Linked DNA regions of Canis lupus familiaris. The protein of the gene in region 1 purifies or fractionates together with the protein of each later gene. This does not show direct contact. Links are inferred from orthologs where the notes say so. Each region holds a gene or a part of one and is shown in the gene's direction. Other genes may lie near its edges.

Evidence for each region.
Region 2: the proteins of WDR62 (region 1) and CEP170 purify together in Homo sapiens (affinity purification with mass spectrometry; 3 studies listed by BioGRID and IntAct, with this or other methods). This does not show direct contact. The link is inferred for Canis lupus familiaris from reciprocal best matches to the Homo sapiens genes WDR62 and CEP170.
Region 3: the proteins of WDR62 (region 1) and MAPK8 purify together in Homo sapiens (affinity purification with mass spectrometry; 5 studies listed by BioGRID and IntAct, counting the BioPlex papers as one, with this or other methods). This does not show direct contact. The link is inferred for Canis lupus familiaris from reciprocal best matches to the Homo sapiens genes WDR62 and MAPK8.

The regions. Positions count from the first base shown.
Region 1 is NC_049222.1:117,484,690-117,488,811, reverse strand, and holds the start of WDR62 (WD repeat-containing protein 62), read left to right. Parts: upstream 1-1,319; 5' UTR 1,320-1,334; coding exon 1,335-1,511; intron 1,512-4,122. Other genes in the region: THAP8 (THAP domain-containing protein 8), read right to left, coding at 499-581. UniProt on the Homo sapiens protein: Required for cerebral cortical development. Plays a role in neuronal proliferation and migration.
Region 2 is NC_049228.1:34,338,737-34,343,084, reverse strand, and holds the start of CEP170 (centrosomal protein of 170 kDa), read left to right. Parts: upstream 1-1,545; 5' UTR 1,546-2,298; intron 2,299-2,839; exon of another isoform or gene 2,840-2,964; intron 2,965-3,133; exon of another isoform or gene 3,134-3,281; intron 3,282-4,348. Other genes in the region: SDCCAG8 (serologically defined colon cancer antigen 8), read right to left, coding at 1,126-1,192.
Region 3 is NC_049249.1:547,659-550,473, forward strand, and holds part of MAPK8 (mitogen-activated protein kinase 8), read left to right. Parts: intron 1-407; coding exon of another isoform or gene 408-412; coding exon 413-558; 3' UTR 559-2,815. UniProt on the Homo sapiens protein: Serine/threonine-protein kinase involved in various processes such as cell proliferation, differentiation, migration, transformation and programmed cell death.

The DNA.
Region 1 (4,122 bases):
CCTTCCTTTTTTTTTTTTTTTTAACAGTTCAAGCTCATTTTTACTTTCCCCAATGTGAGGAAAGAAAAGAGGTAGGTATGACTCTTAAGATTTCCTGCCTGAACAACAGGAAAGATGGAGCGAGCTCTTAACTGAAATAGGAAAGGCTGTGGAAAGTTTGGGAGAGAGACAAGATCAGGAGCTCAATTTTGGATGTTTTGCATTTGAGATAAATTCGTGGAGATAACAAGTGGGCAGTTTTAGGGTCCTTCCCCTACACAGTCCCACTTCTCATGCTCGCTGCTTTCACTATCTGTAGTTTATCTTCCACCCCTGCGTTTTAACACGTCTGCACCTCTGCGCGTGCTGTGTTTAGGGCTGAGAACACCGTCTCTTCACTTTGCTAGCCCTGCTTCCAGACACCTGCAAGCTGGACCAGGCGCGCGGGCACAGCTGCAGTTACCCTCGGGCTCCGCCCCCAGCCCCGCCCCCCGAGCCCCGCCCCGCGCTTGCGCTCACTTGTAGAAGCTCACGGGGCGGTTGTCAGCGCCCAGTCGGCCCGCAGTGTTGGAGCAGTTCGGAGCCCGGCAGTACTTGGGCATGGCTGTTCCACCCCGTTGAGTCCTGCCCAGTCTGCAGCCGCACTTTGATCCTCGCCGGGCGCCGCCGAACCCCACCCTGCCCGCTCTCCGCCTACCTCACGTGATGGCCCTTGATGCCTCATCACGTGCAGGGGAGGGAAGAGAGCGCCTGCGCACTACGCGCCCAGCCGCGTTACCACAGTTACGCCCTGGTCACGTGGCGAGCGGGGAAGCGCGAGGACGTCGGCGCAAAGCCAGTTCTTAGGCATCCGGACCTTACCACGTGTTGGGGGAGAGAGGGGGGGGTCGCGGCTTTTCTGAGCATGCGCCGAGTGGTCGGTCTCTTTGGACTCCACCCCATCTTACATCCGGGCGACTGCCAGCCACTGCGTGGGTAGTTGCTGGGGGTGGGGAGTGCGGCAAAAAGCGAACTGGAGGCTTTGATCTTCGCTACGTAAAAAGTTAACACCTAAATGCTTGTTAATGGTGAAAACAGACCGCGTTAAAAACGCCACTTCCTTGATCAGGCATCAAGTAGAGGAGCTCCGGTTCCACCCGGCCGTAGGCTTCGCTCCGCCTCTCGGCCCTCATTGGTCAAAACCGCCTCCCGGCAGCCCTGACATTGGCCAGACCCGGGCCTGCCGCGTCCAATGGGCGGCGGCGCCGGCTTTCCCGCGGCCGTTTGCTCTTCCAGTGGGTCGTGGAGGCGGCGGCGGCGGCGGCGGCGGCGGCAGCGGTTGAGGAGCCTAACGGTTGCCCGGCTCCGGCGCGTCGATGGCGGCCTTGGGGCCCGGAGGCTACGCGCGCAACGATGCAGTGGAGAAGCTGCCGTCCGGCGCGGCGGGGGTTCCGGCGCGGAGGGGCCAGTGCTCTCCGCCCCCCGCCCCGCCGCTCTGTCTCCGGCGGCGGACACGACTCTCGACGGCGCCGGAGGACACGGTGCAGAACCGGGTGAGGAGCTGTTTGCCCTGCCCACCCCAGTCCCGGGGTTCGGCGGCCGCCCCCGGCCCCGCCCCCGGATCGCCGGCCCCGCCTCAGCCCTCGGCTCGGCCCCTCGGACTCCGGTCTGGCCCGCGGCGTCTCGCAGGCCCCTCCCACCCTCCCGTCTCCTCTCCCTCAGGCACTGCCCTTCAGACCCGTCCCAGCTCTCCCTTCCCTCGGAGGGTATTTTAGTTCTGATCACCCTCGCCCTCCTTCCTGCCTCTCCCTTCAGTCACCGTTAGATGTCTCTCTGGCCCTTCATTTTTGTTGACCCCGCCCTACGCTGGATCTTTAGGGTCCCCACCAGTCAGTGTGCAGTCCCGAGCGCTACCCACCTCGTCTGTCCCTCAGCTCATTCCACCTTCTCGCCCCACCTGCCCGCCCTTTCCTTCCTTCCACCCTTACCGACGTGGAATTCTTGGCGCATGTTGCCACCCCAGGTTACGGACACTGTGTGAGTAAATGTAAAACCTCAGCAGCGCTTCCGAAGTGGGGGTTGACATACAGAATAGTCCCCGACGTCCTTAGATAGAAAATCAAAGACGATTTTAGAGTAGGTACAAGGAATTCTCTTAGCACACCAGCGATTTAAGAAAATGGTTCTCCAGCTCTCCGAGCTACAAAGTCTATTTTTATAAAAGAGAAGTTGACAGTAATCATGCCACGGAGTTGCAGGGAGCAGAGATGAAATCGTGACCATGACCTGCTCTTGGCAGAGGCCAGATAGAGGGTGGAAACACGGTAGATCCTGGTGGATCTTGTTTCTGCCACCTGGCGTCCTGCTGCACTCTGATTATATCACCCATTCCTGGCTGCAAGGCCTAGCTAGGCAAGTGGCCCCTCCCCACCTCTCTGGCTGTACCTCCGTTGTCCTCTCTTTTTATCAGTGTTAGGTCACATTAGCCAGCTGTTTTCCCGAGGCTCCCCAAGCTCTTTACCTCCTCCCAAGTGTTTGCTGAGTCTTTTGGGCTTTTTTGCTGCAGTCCACCTGGCTGGGTCCTCATTCCTCAAATCTCAGCCTGAATATCCCTAGCCTGAGCCGCCTTTTTGAACCCCCCCACCTAAGATAGACACCTACTTTAATCTCTTACCTAGCATGCTGTACTTCATAGCATTTCTCTTGTATGTTCCTGAAAGTACTCTAAACTGTGTGTAACATAAAGGAATAGCAATGGGGATTTCAGAGAGACAGCAACGTGGTTAAGCGGCCTCTGGACCCAGACTGCCTGGGCTTAAACCTTAATTCTGTTCTTGTTATGAACTTTTCTGTGCCTCAGTTTCCTCATCTGTCAAATGATGATAATAATATAAATATTCCCTTGCAGGGTATTTGTGAGGATTAAGTGAACTCACGTATCTTAAGCATTAGAACAATACCTGGCACATTGCAAGTACTCTTATTAGTGGTAGCTACTACTGCTTTGATTGTGTAACTTGGATAATTGGTGTCATTTATTTATTCTTGTTTGGTGGCACAGAGTCCATCTGGCTTACAAAAGATGTACTCTAAAAATGACCATTATATTATATTAATGCCCAGTAATGCTGGTTGACAGATAGAAAAACAATGTGAGTGCCATTGTTTGATTGTTTGGAATAGAGTCCTGCTGCTGCTCCTTCCTGGGTGGGTTACCTCTCTGGGCCCCTTTATAGCCTCATCTGTAAGATGGAGATGATGATGATGATGATAATGACCGCAGGGTTATTGTGAGCATAAGTCAGTACAGGTATTTAAACAGTGCCTGGCTCCTGGTAAATGCTCAAGAAGAGCTAGTTATTATTATCCTATGTTTGCCTCTCATTTCTAAAGCCAAGGACTTGCTTGAGAATGTTTTGCTTTATAATAATTTGAAACTAGGGGATCCCTGGGTGGCTCAGCAGTTTGGCGCCTGCCTTCGGCCCAGGGCGTGATCCTGGGGTCCTGGGGTCGGGTCCCATATCGGGCTCCCTGTGTGGAGCCTGTTTCTCCCTCTGCCTGTGTCTCTGCCTCTCTCTCTCTCTCTCTCTCTCTGTGTGTGTGTGTGTCTCTCATGAATAAATACAATCTTTAAATTTAAAAAAAATAATAATAATTTGAAACTAGTATATTCAAAATATGAAAATACAATTCTAATAGTTCATATTCTAAACAGTTTCAATCAACCATGATAGTGACTTGTTCATTTAAATTACTTTGCTTAGAGAATTTAAAATTTTAAGTGTGACTATTCATTTGTTTCTTTACTTGTTGAACCTCTAGACTATGAATTTGCTGAGGGAACAGATGGTGTCCACTCTTGCTCACTGCTGTGTCTCTCCTTCAGGGCCCAAGGGTACTGGCTTTGGAGCCAGAGACTAGCTGGGTTTGTATCCCAACCTTGCCATTCCACAGGTGTGGGGATTTTGAGGCTCAATGACCTCGCCTCAAAATCCCCACACCTGTGGAGTGATGACAGTTGTGCCTTCTTCCTTGGGTTGTGGGATTTCAAATCTTTAATCCATATAAAATACTTAGAAATGTACTCAGAGGCCGCCTTCTCAGTGAGGCCTCTCCTTCCCCTATACTCCCAATCTTCTTCCCTGCTTTATTTTTCTCTCTTGC
Region 2 (4,348 bases), on another chromosome or scaffold:
ATTGCATCCCCCAACACCTCGCATGCCTTACACATAGTAGGCACCACATGTTTAAATGATTCATTGTTCCAAACACTTTAAATAATTGTTTAAAAATGGTTGGTCAATGATCTAGAGGGCTAAGAAAATGCAAAAGAATAGAGTGTATTTTATTTAGTACAATATTCTTCAGTGAAATTTTTACATGTATACGTCCCATATAAAATGTATTTCTTACCAATGGGTAACAGCAAAAAAAAAAAAAAAAAAAAAAAGGTTGGAAAGCTTTACATGGATTATTTCATTTGCTCCTCATAATAACCCTGTAGCTGACATAACTTCCTATTTAAAAATAACAAGACTGAGGTTTCCAGATGGCATATATGATGTCCAAGATGACAGATCTATAAGTACGACCATCACTTCTATAAAGTCTCACTCATAAGGAGCCATATTAAGAAAATGTGAATTAACTAAATAAGGTTTCGGTAATAATAATTGCGACATGATTAATAAAGAAAAAAATTTTTTTTTTTAATTTTTTAAAAAGAAAAAAAAAAATAGGCTTTTAAGGCTGTCAGCCCTGAATACCCGGCTGTGCCACCAACCAGCTGTGCGGACTCTGGCCTAACTTAACATCTTTGCACCTTGATTTCCCCACGTGTCAAAGAGGGATATTCATAACGTTGCTGTAAGTTTTAGCTTATCTTGATGTATGTAAATAGCTCAGACCGCTAAGTTGAAGCTGCTGTGATTAAAATAATTAGTATTTTCTTTCTCCTGGTCCGCTAGGTCACATTCAGCCCACTACACCACAATCCGAATGTGTAAAAAGCGTGAGTCAGGAGTTTACTGGCCAGGAAGTGGGCAGGAGTGGGGGAGAGCCACCCACGAGTTTCTGCGGGCCTCGGGTGACAAAGATGCTTCAGTCGAGCTCGCTCGGGGAGGCGGTTCAGGTAGGTCACTATGGGAATCAAGGGAAACAACACTGCTTAACCGTAAAGACAAACACAAACTACTTCATCTTTCCTCAAGGTTCACAGCACCATCCATCTTCTTCCTCTGTGTCCTGGCGGGGGCTGAAGCGGGGTGTGAGGAAACGCACCTGGGCAGCCCCCGCCCACGCAGAGGTTCGGCGCAACTCACCCCGGAGACTCCGTTGATACTTCCCCAGAATCTCCTCCAGGGTAGAGTTCTCCGGGGACTTCGCCATGCACAGACTCGGGGCCCAGGGATGGGAGTTACGTAGGGAAGTGTCCAGTGTCGCCCCTCGGGGAGCAAGAGGCCTTGGCGCCGGAGCAGCACCCGCCTGCTTCCGGCCGCTGCTGTCACTGGGGGAGCAGGGAACCCCGGACCGAGCTCGCAGGGGGCGCTTCCCACCCAGTGGCCCTCTTGGTGGACGTCGGGAATTGTAGTTCGCAGACTGCTGGCCTGCAGTCAGGAGGCTCCTAAACTACCCCTCCGACTGTACTACAATTCCCGGAGGACATCGCGCTAAAAGCTTTGGCGGTTTGGCGGCCAGATCCGGTTGCCAAGAGACTGCTCGGAGGCTCCGCCCTCTTTCTCTAGCCCAGGCTGGCTGAGTCCTGCCTTTATCCCGCCCTGCGGTTTGGACCACCCAACTGACGGAGGCCTTGACTCTTTTCCAAGTTTGCTAGTTTTCGGTTGGTCCTTGGGTCTTCTCAAGAACACAAATAACAAGCTCTCCACCTGCCAGCCGCGACATTTGCCAAAACGGCCAAATACATCCTCAAGAAGGTTGAAATCTACCGAACAGCCTAACTGTGAAGGCGTCCTACACTACAAATCCTAGCATGCCCAGCAACCCAACGTCCGCTTGCATTTGGCGCGCTGCCCTCTGGGAAGCGTAGTCCGCTTTAGTTGCGGTCCCGACTAGCGCCAGAGCCCTCTTTATTGTTCAAGCGGGTCTTTGGAGCACGCCTGCGCAATAGGCAGCTGGAGAAGCCTTTGGGTGAGACCCTCCGCACAGCCCCTTTTCATTGTCTGCGTCTGGCGCCTGCGCAGTTGGAGATCGTTGGGACTGGGCCGGCGGAGGGGATAGGGCCCGGCTCCTCGCCCATTCCTCAGGCGCCTGCGCACTGGGCGGCCGCTCTTTGCCGTTACCGCTATGTGCGGGGCGTGTGTGGAATAACGTTATTGCCCAGCGGAGCACAGGGCCGGGAGCTCGACCGCGGCGGCGGCGGCGACGACGACAGCGGCGACGACGACGACGGGGTGGGGGCAGGACGGCGTGCGAGAGACTCACGGGACGCGACGCGCCCCGCCTCCCCCGTCCGGTCCCTCTCTCAGCGGTGAGGGGTAAGTGATGCGCTCAGCTGCTCGGTCGGGTTCGCCGCCGCCGCCGCCGCCGCTTCCCCACATCCTCCGGGGTTTGCAGCGGGGGCTCAGGGCGCGGCCTGCCTTGGCCGGGAGTGCCGGGCCGGGCGGCGGAGGGGGCGCTTCCCGGCGGCTCCGCGCGGCCCCCCCCCCCCCGCCCCCCAGCCGGGGCTCGTCGGGGCCTCCGCTCCCCTCCCCTCCCCCACTCGGCCCGCGCCCCTCCCCCGCCCCCTCCTCGCTGCCCCTTCCCGAGGACTTCTTGAATCCTTTTCAGCCCTCTCTCGGCTTTGTGCAGCCCTCCCCCCTGCGCTGTAGCAGCTCGCGAGGGGGTGCGGGCGGAGCATTGGACGGAATGGCTGCGCTGGCGCTGGGGAACGGATTTTTTTTTTTTTTTTTTTTTTCCCACCCGGGTCGGAGCAGCTAACCGTGCCGGGCCTTTTTGTGAGGTTGGTTTGCGGATGTGGGGTGGCTTGGGGGAGGTCAGGCCGGGCGCCCTCTGGACGCGGTTGGAGGGCGTGGAAGACGTGGTGTCACGCACTGTGCCAGGCGACTGCACCCGCGCAGGCTCCGGCTCCGTAGTAAACCCAGGGGAGGAGAGAGCGGCTTCCTGTCGGCTTCATTGTCCGAAGATTCAAATGTGGGGTTTGGGTATGCTTCCCTTGGTTTCGTGCCTGACACTAGGCGGGAAGACGTGGGATTTGTGTCCTAAGTTAAGAGAACCGCCGGGGCTGGGGGCGGGGGGGACGGGGGGCTGGGAGGGAGGGAGGGTGGTGTTTTAGTAGAGCTTTAGGTGTTTGCTTGAAGGATGGAAGGCCCTGGAAGACAGGTACAGCGCCTGTCCAAGCACTGCCAAGGCGAGCCGTATGAAATTACTGGATAGCGACGAAGATCGTCCTTAGGAAGGGCCCGACGACGAGGCTGTTCTGTAGCAGGGAAATGAACCAGCAGAATTGTTTTTTCATTGGGTGGGTAACGCTTACACGTTCCTGAGGGAATAGATTGGGCTACATCTTTCCGGTTCTTTTTTTTTTTTTTTTTTTTTTTTTTTAAGCAGTCAAAACAACAACAACAAAAAAAACCAGGCCTGGTACATTTCTATTCCTGATTTTGTTTATTCATACTTTCATTCTCTTAGTGAAATCCCACCCTATTTGGGAGAAATGTGGTGGTGCAGATGATCGTTGATTCGAAATGCATCTTTTAAAATGATTTCATCTTAAGCTTTCAATGCTTAAAACCGTTTGCTGGCACTAAAACAAGCGGAAGAAAGAATAAGCAGGATGGGGAGGAGCAGGTGGAGGAATAATGGGAGAGGAGGGAGTTACATTGTGAATACTGCATCTAGAGCTTCACTGATGCAATCCTAGCTGGATATGCTTCAAAAATTTAGTGATTCAGTTCTGGAAATACTACATTGCAAGTACAAATAATTTCGGGTTTTTTTTTTTTTTTTCTGCCGTTATTTTGTCTTGAAAAGTAAAACCAGAGCTGTTTTTGTCCTTCCCAACTTTGTAGATATTGTAGAATTTTGGTGTTTTAAAAGTCAAGAATCTAAGTGCACTTGACACGGAGGAAGACGCTAAAACTTGGGAAGTTAACCGAATTGTCTGTCCAAGCCTAAATGCTAATGGAAAGGCAGAGGCAAATAAAACCAAGATCTGTTCTTGCAGTGCGCTCTTTTGGTTTTTTCACTTAGTCCTCCTAGCCTGAGAAAACTTAAGGAAAGCTTCTCTACGTGCTCCTTGAGTTTCTTTACCGATCAAGTTCATTGATACTCTAGTTGTATTAATCTAGTCCTTTTTCCTTGTGATGCAAAAATATGTGGAGTTTTAGTTTTATAAATTAACTTATAAGGAAAGATGCCCTAAAATGAGCTTTTCATAAAAACAAACTCTTGGAAGTTTTTCCCTATTAGTAAGCATATTTTAATATTTCCTGATATTCAGTAGTATTTTATAGTATGAATTCTATAAGCTTGGTTAAAAATAAAATTGCCATGTAACAGGAAGCTGTGAAGTTCATTTTTCTTCAA
Region 3 (2,815 bases), on another chromosome or scaffold:
ATATATATTATATCGATACATATCCAGGAAATGCTTGTTAGCTATAGCTAACTTACTTCCAGTAAAGGAAATAATCTTCTTGTACTTTTATGTTTTATGTTTTAAAATCTTTTTTAAAAAAGATGTGCCAGGATATTGTTTGGAGTTTACAGTGAAAAGATAAGTAATTTTTATTAGGGCAGTAGTCTTTTAACCTTTTGGGCCATATATCCCTTTGAGATCCTCTCTCCAACAAAATGCAGTACAGACAGTTTTGCATGTTTTATCAGTATTATTCATACACAATCTAATGAGCCTTTTCAAAGCCAAGAGAAAAAAATTATTGATCACTAGAGGTAGCCAATACAGTATAGGCAGCTCGGCATGCAACTCTGTCTGCAACTGATTTGCTGTTTTGTTTCTCATAGCACAGGTGCAGCAGTGATCAATGGCTCTCAGCATCCATCGTCGTCATCATCTGTCAATGATGTGTCTTCAATGTCAACAGATCCAACTTTGGCCTCAGATACAGACAGCAGTTTAGAAGCATCAGCTGGACCTCTGGGCTGCTGTAGATGACTACTTGGGCCTTTGGGGGGTGGGGGGATGGGGAGTCATTTAGTCATTGATAGAACTACTTTGAAAACAATTCAGTGGTCTTATTTTTGAGTGATTTTTCAAAAATGTAGAATTCATTTTGTAGTAAAGTAGTTTATTTTTTTTAATTTCAAGTGATGTAATTTAAAACTTAAGTTGTGTTTTAAAACAGCAACAAAACTGTATTGTATTTTTGCTGTAATTAACTGTATAATGTAAACCTAATTATTTTATCATGGTTTAAAATTTTTGCATATTTGCTTTATCTTATGCTGCTGATTTTTTTTTTTTTTACTGAATTTCTAAGATTTTGTTTAAGCAACTATTATGTGGTGACTTGCCTATATCATGAATTATTTAAGATTTTATAGTTTTTTTAATTAGAATTTTATTTTAAATGTTTTGTTCATGATGCTATCCTTCAGGGTTATGTGCTTATCAATGAAATAACCCCAGAGGAGTGAGGGAAAATAACCTGTAGCCAGTTGTATTCAGGAATAACTACTGTAAATGATGAACGTGTTAAAAAACCTCCAATATTTGCTACTTGCCAATCCTAATTTAATTATAACAGTTGGTAGGCATCCTACAATTGTTCTTTGGCGAAAGTCCCATCATCTAAATGGCAGAATAACTTAGAGCATGTCTTTGAAGATGATGGGCGTCTACCCCCACCCTCCTATTCCCCAACCCCACACAACAAAAGTAAAGTAAAAAGAATATGGTATTTTTACAAATTTGTGGCATGCTCAAAGCTTATGATTACATAAAGTCAAGAGGATACTTCATGAATAATACATTTCAATGCAAATAAACAGATGGTTCACTTCTACTAGCTATGAGCCTGTTTTTGTACACAGAGTTAATCTACTCAGGCTGTAGGTCCCAGCAGTGGTCTAGAGTCTGGTCTTTCCCTTTCCTGCAGCCTCAGGCCCTTGGACCTTTCTGGTTTCCTATCACAGTGTCAGTCAGGGGAGCACCAGTTCTCAAGGTGTTTCTGGCCATTTGATTCTAACTGTAGCATAATCATATTTATACTAGCTGTTGGGAGGTTCCAAAGCCTACTTCAATTTCTGTAGGTGATGTATCAAATGAGCAATATACCGTTCATCTGAAAATAGTAGCACACAGCCATATATAGGATATCATTTTCTAAGGACTGTTTCTTCACATTGAGCAGAGCAGGCATAAGTAGTGGTTATTTAGTCTGAGTCTTTGTTTTTTTATACCTAATTTTCAATAAAACATGCAATGTGGATGTTGAGTAGTGTAAGAATGGTGCTGCTCCTATCAAGTGTATGTTAACTGTTTACATTTTATACCTGCAGAATTCTTTCTCCACAACAAATTTTTCTTAAGTAAATGCCATTGAGGTCTCTATCTCTGAAATACATTCTCTGTATTGCCCCCAGACATTTTTTGTTATTTTTGGAACAAGAAGGATTTCATGTAATGAAGTGGGAAATGCATATGTAAGTAAGTGACAAGATTCTAGGCAGAAAGTCCATGGGAATTAATGACCAACAGGAGCAAGAACTGGTACATCTCAATATGCAGTGTCTGAGAGTTCGCTTGGCATGTTCTTCATATATTTAGTGCAAAATGCCTTTTGAGTTAGGTATTTTAGGTTATTGTTAATGTGCAATATTTAGGATTAAAATACATTAGCCTTTTTGTATGCTTTGAAATAGCAAGTTTGTTTTTGATGGTTTCCAGTTGTGAGTTCTAGCCTCTTGAAGTTATCAACCTTTTTATCAATCCCTCTTCTACTCATACAACATGGTGTGTTAATTTTATTAATAAGCAAATTAGAGTTTTGAGAATGTTACACCTCGAGTTATAGAAACAATTGGATTTGCAATTTTAGTGGAAATTTGAGCATGAGTGTGTTCTTAGTTTATATTAGTTCGGCAGTTAATCAGCTTTATTTTCCCTAGGATAGATTATTTCACTGTTGCACTTTAACAACTGACATGCTTTCAGAGGTTTCTCATATTTTATGTTTGATTGCCAGTAAGCCATCTCTATTGATACAGATTAAGCAAGGAAAACCAGGTGTTCTTACTGTATCACTTGTTGTAAATGCCAGCTCCCCCTTGCCAGCCAGCATGTTTCAGTTGATCCAGAGAAAAGGAATTCTTATTAGTCAATGCAGACTAAAATTCTTAACAAATTCTATCCTGAAAACAGTCTGTTAAATGTTAGGTGCCCTAGGTTTTTAAAATACAATATCTAAATA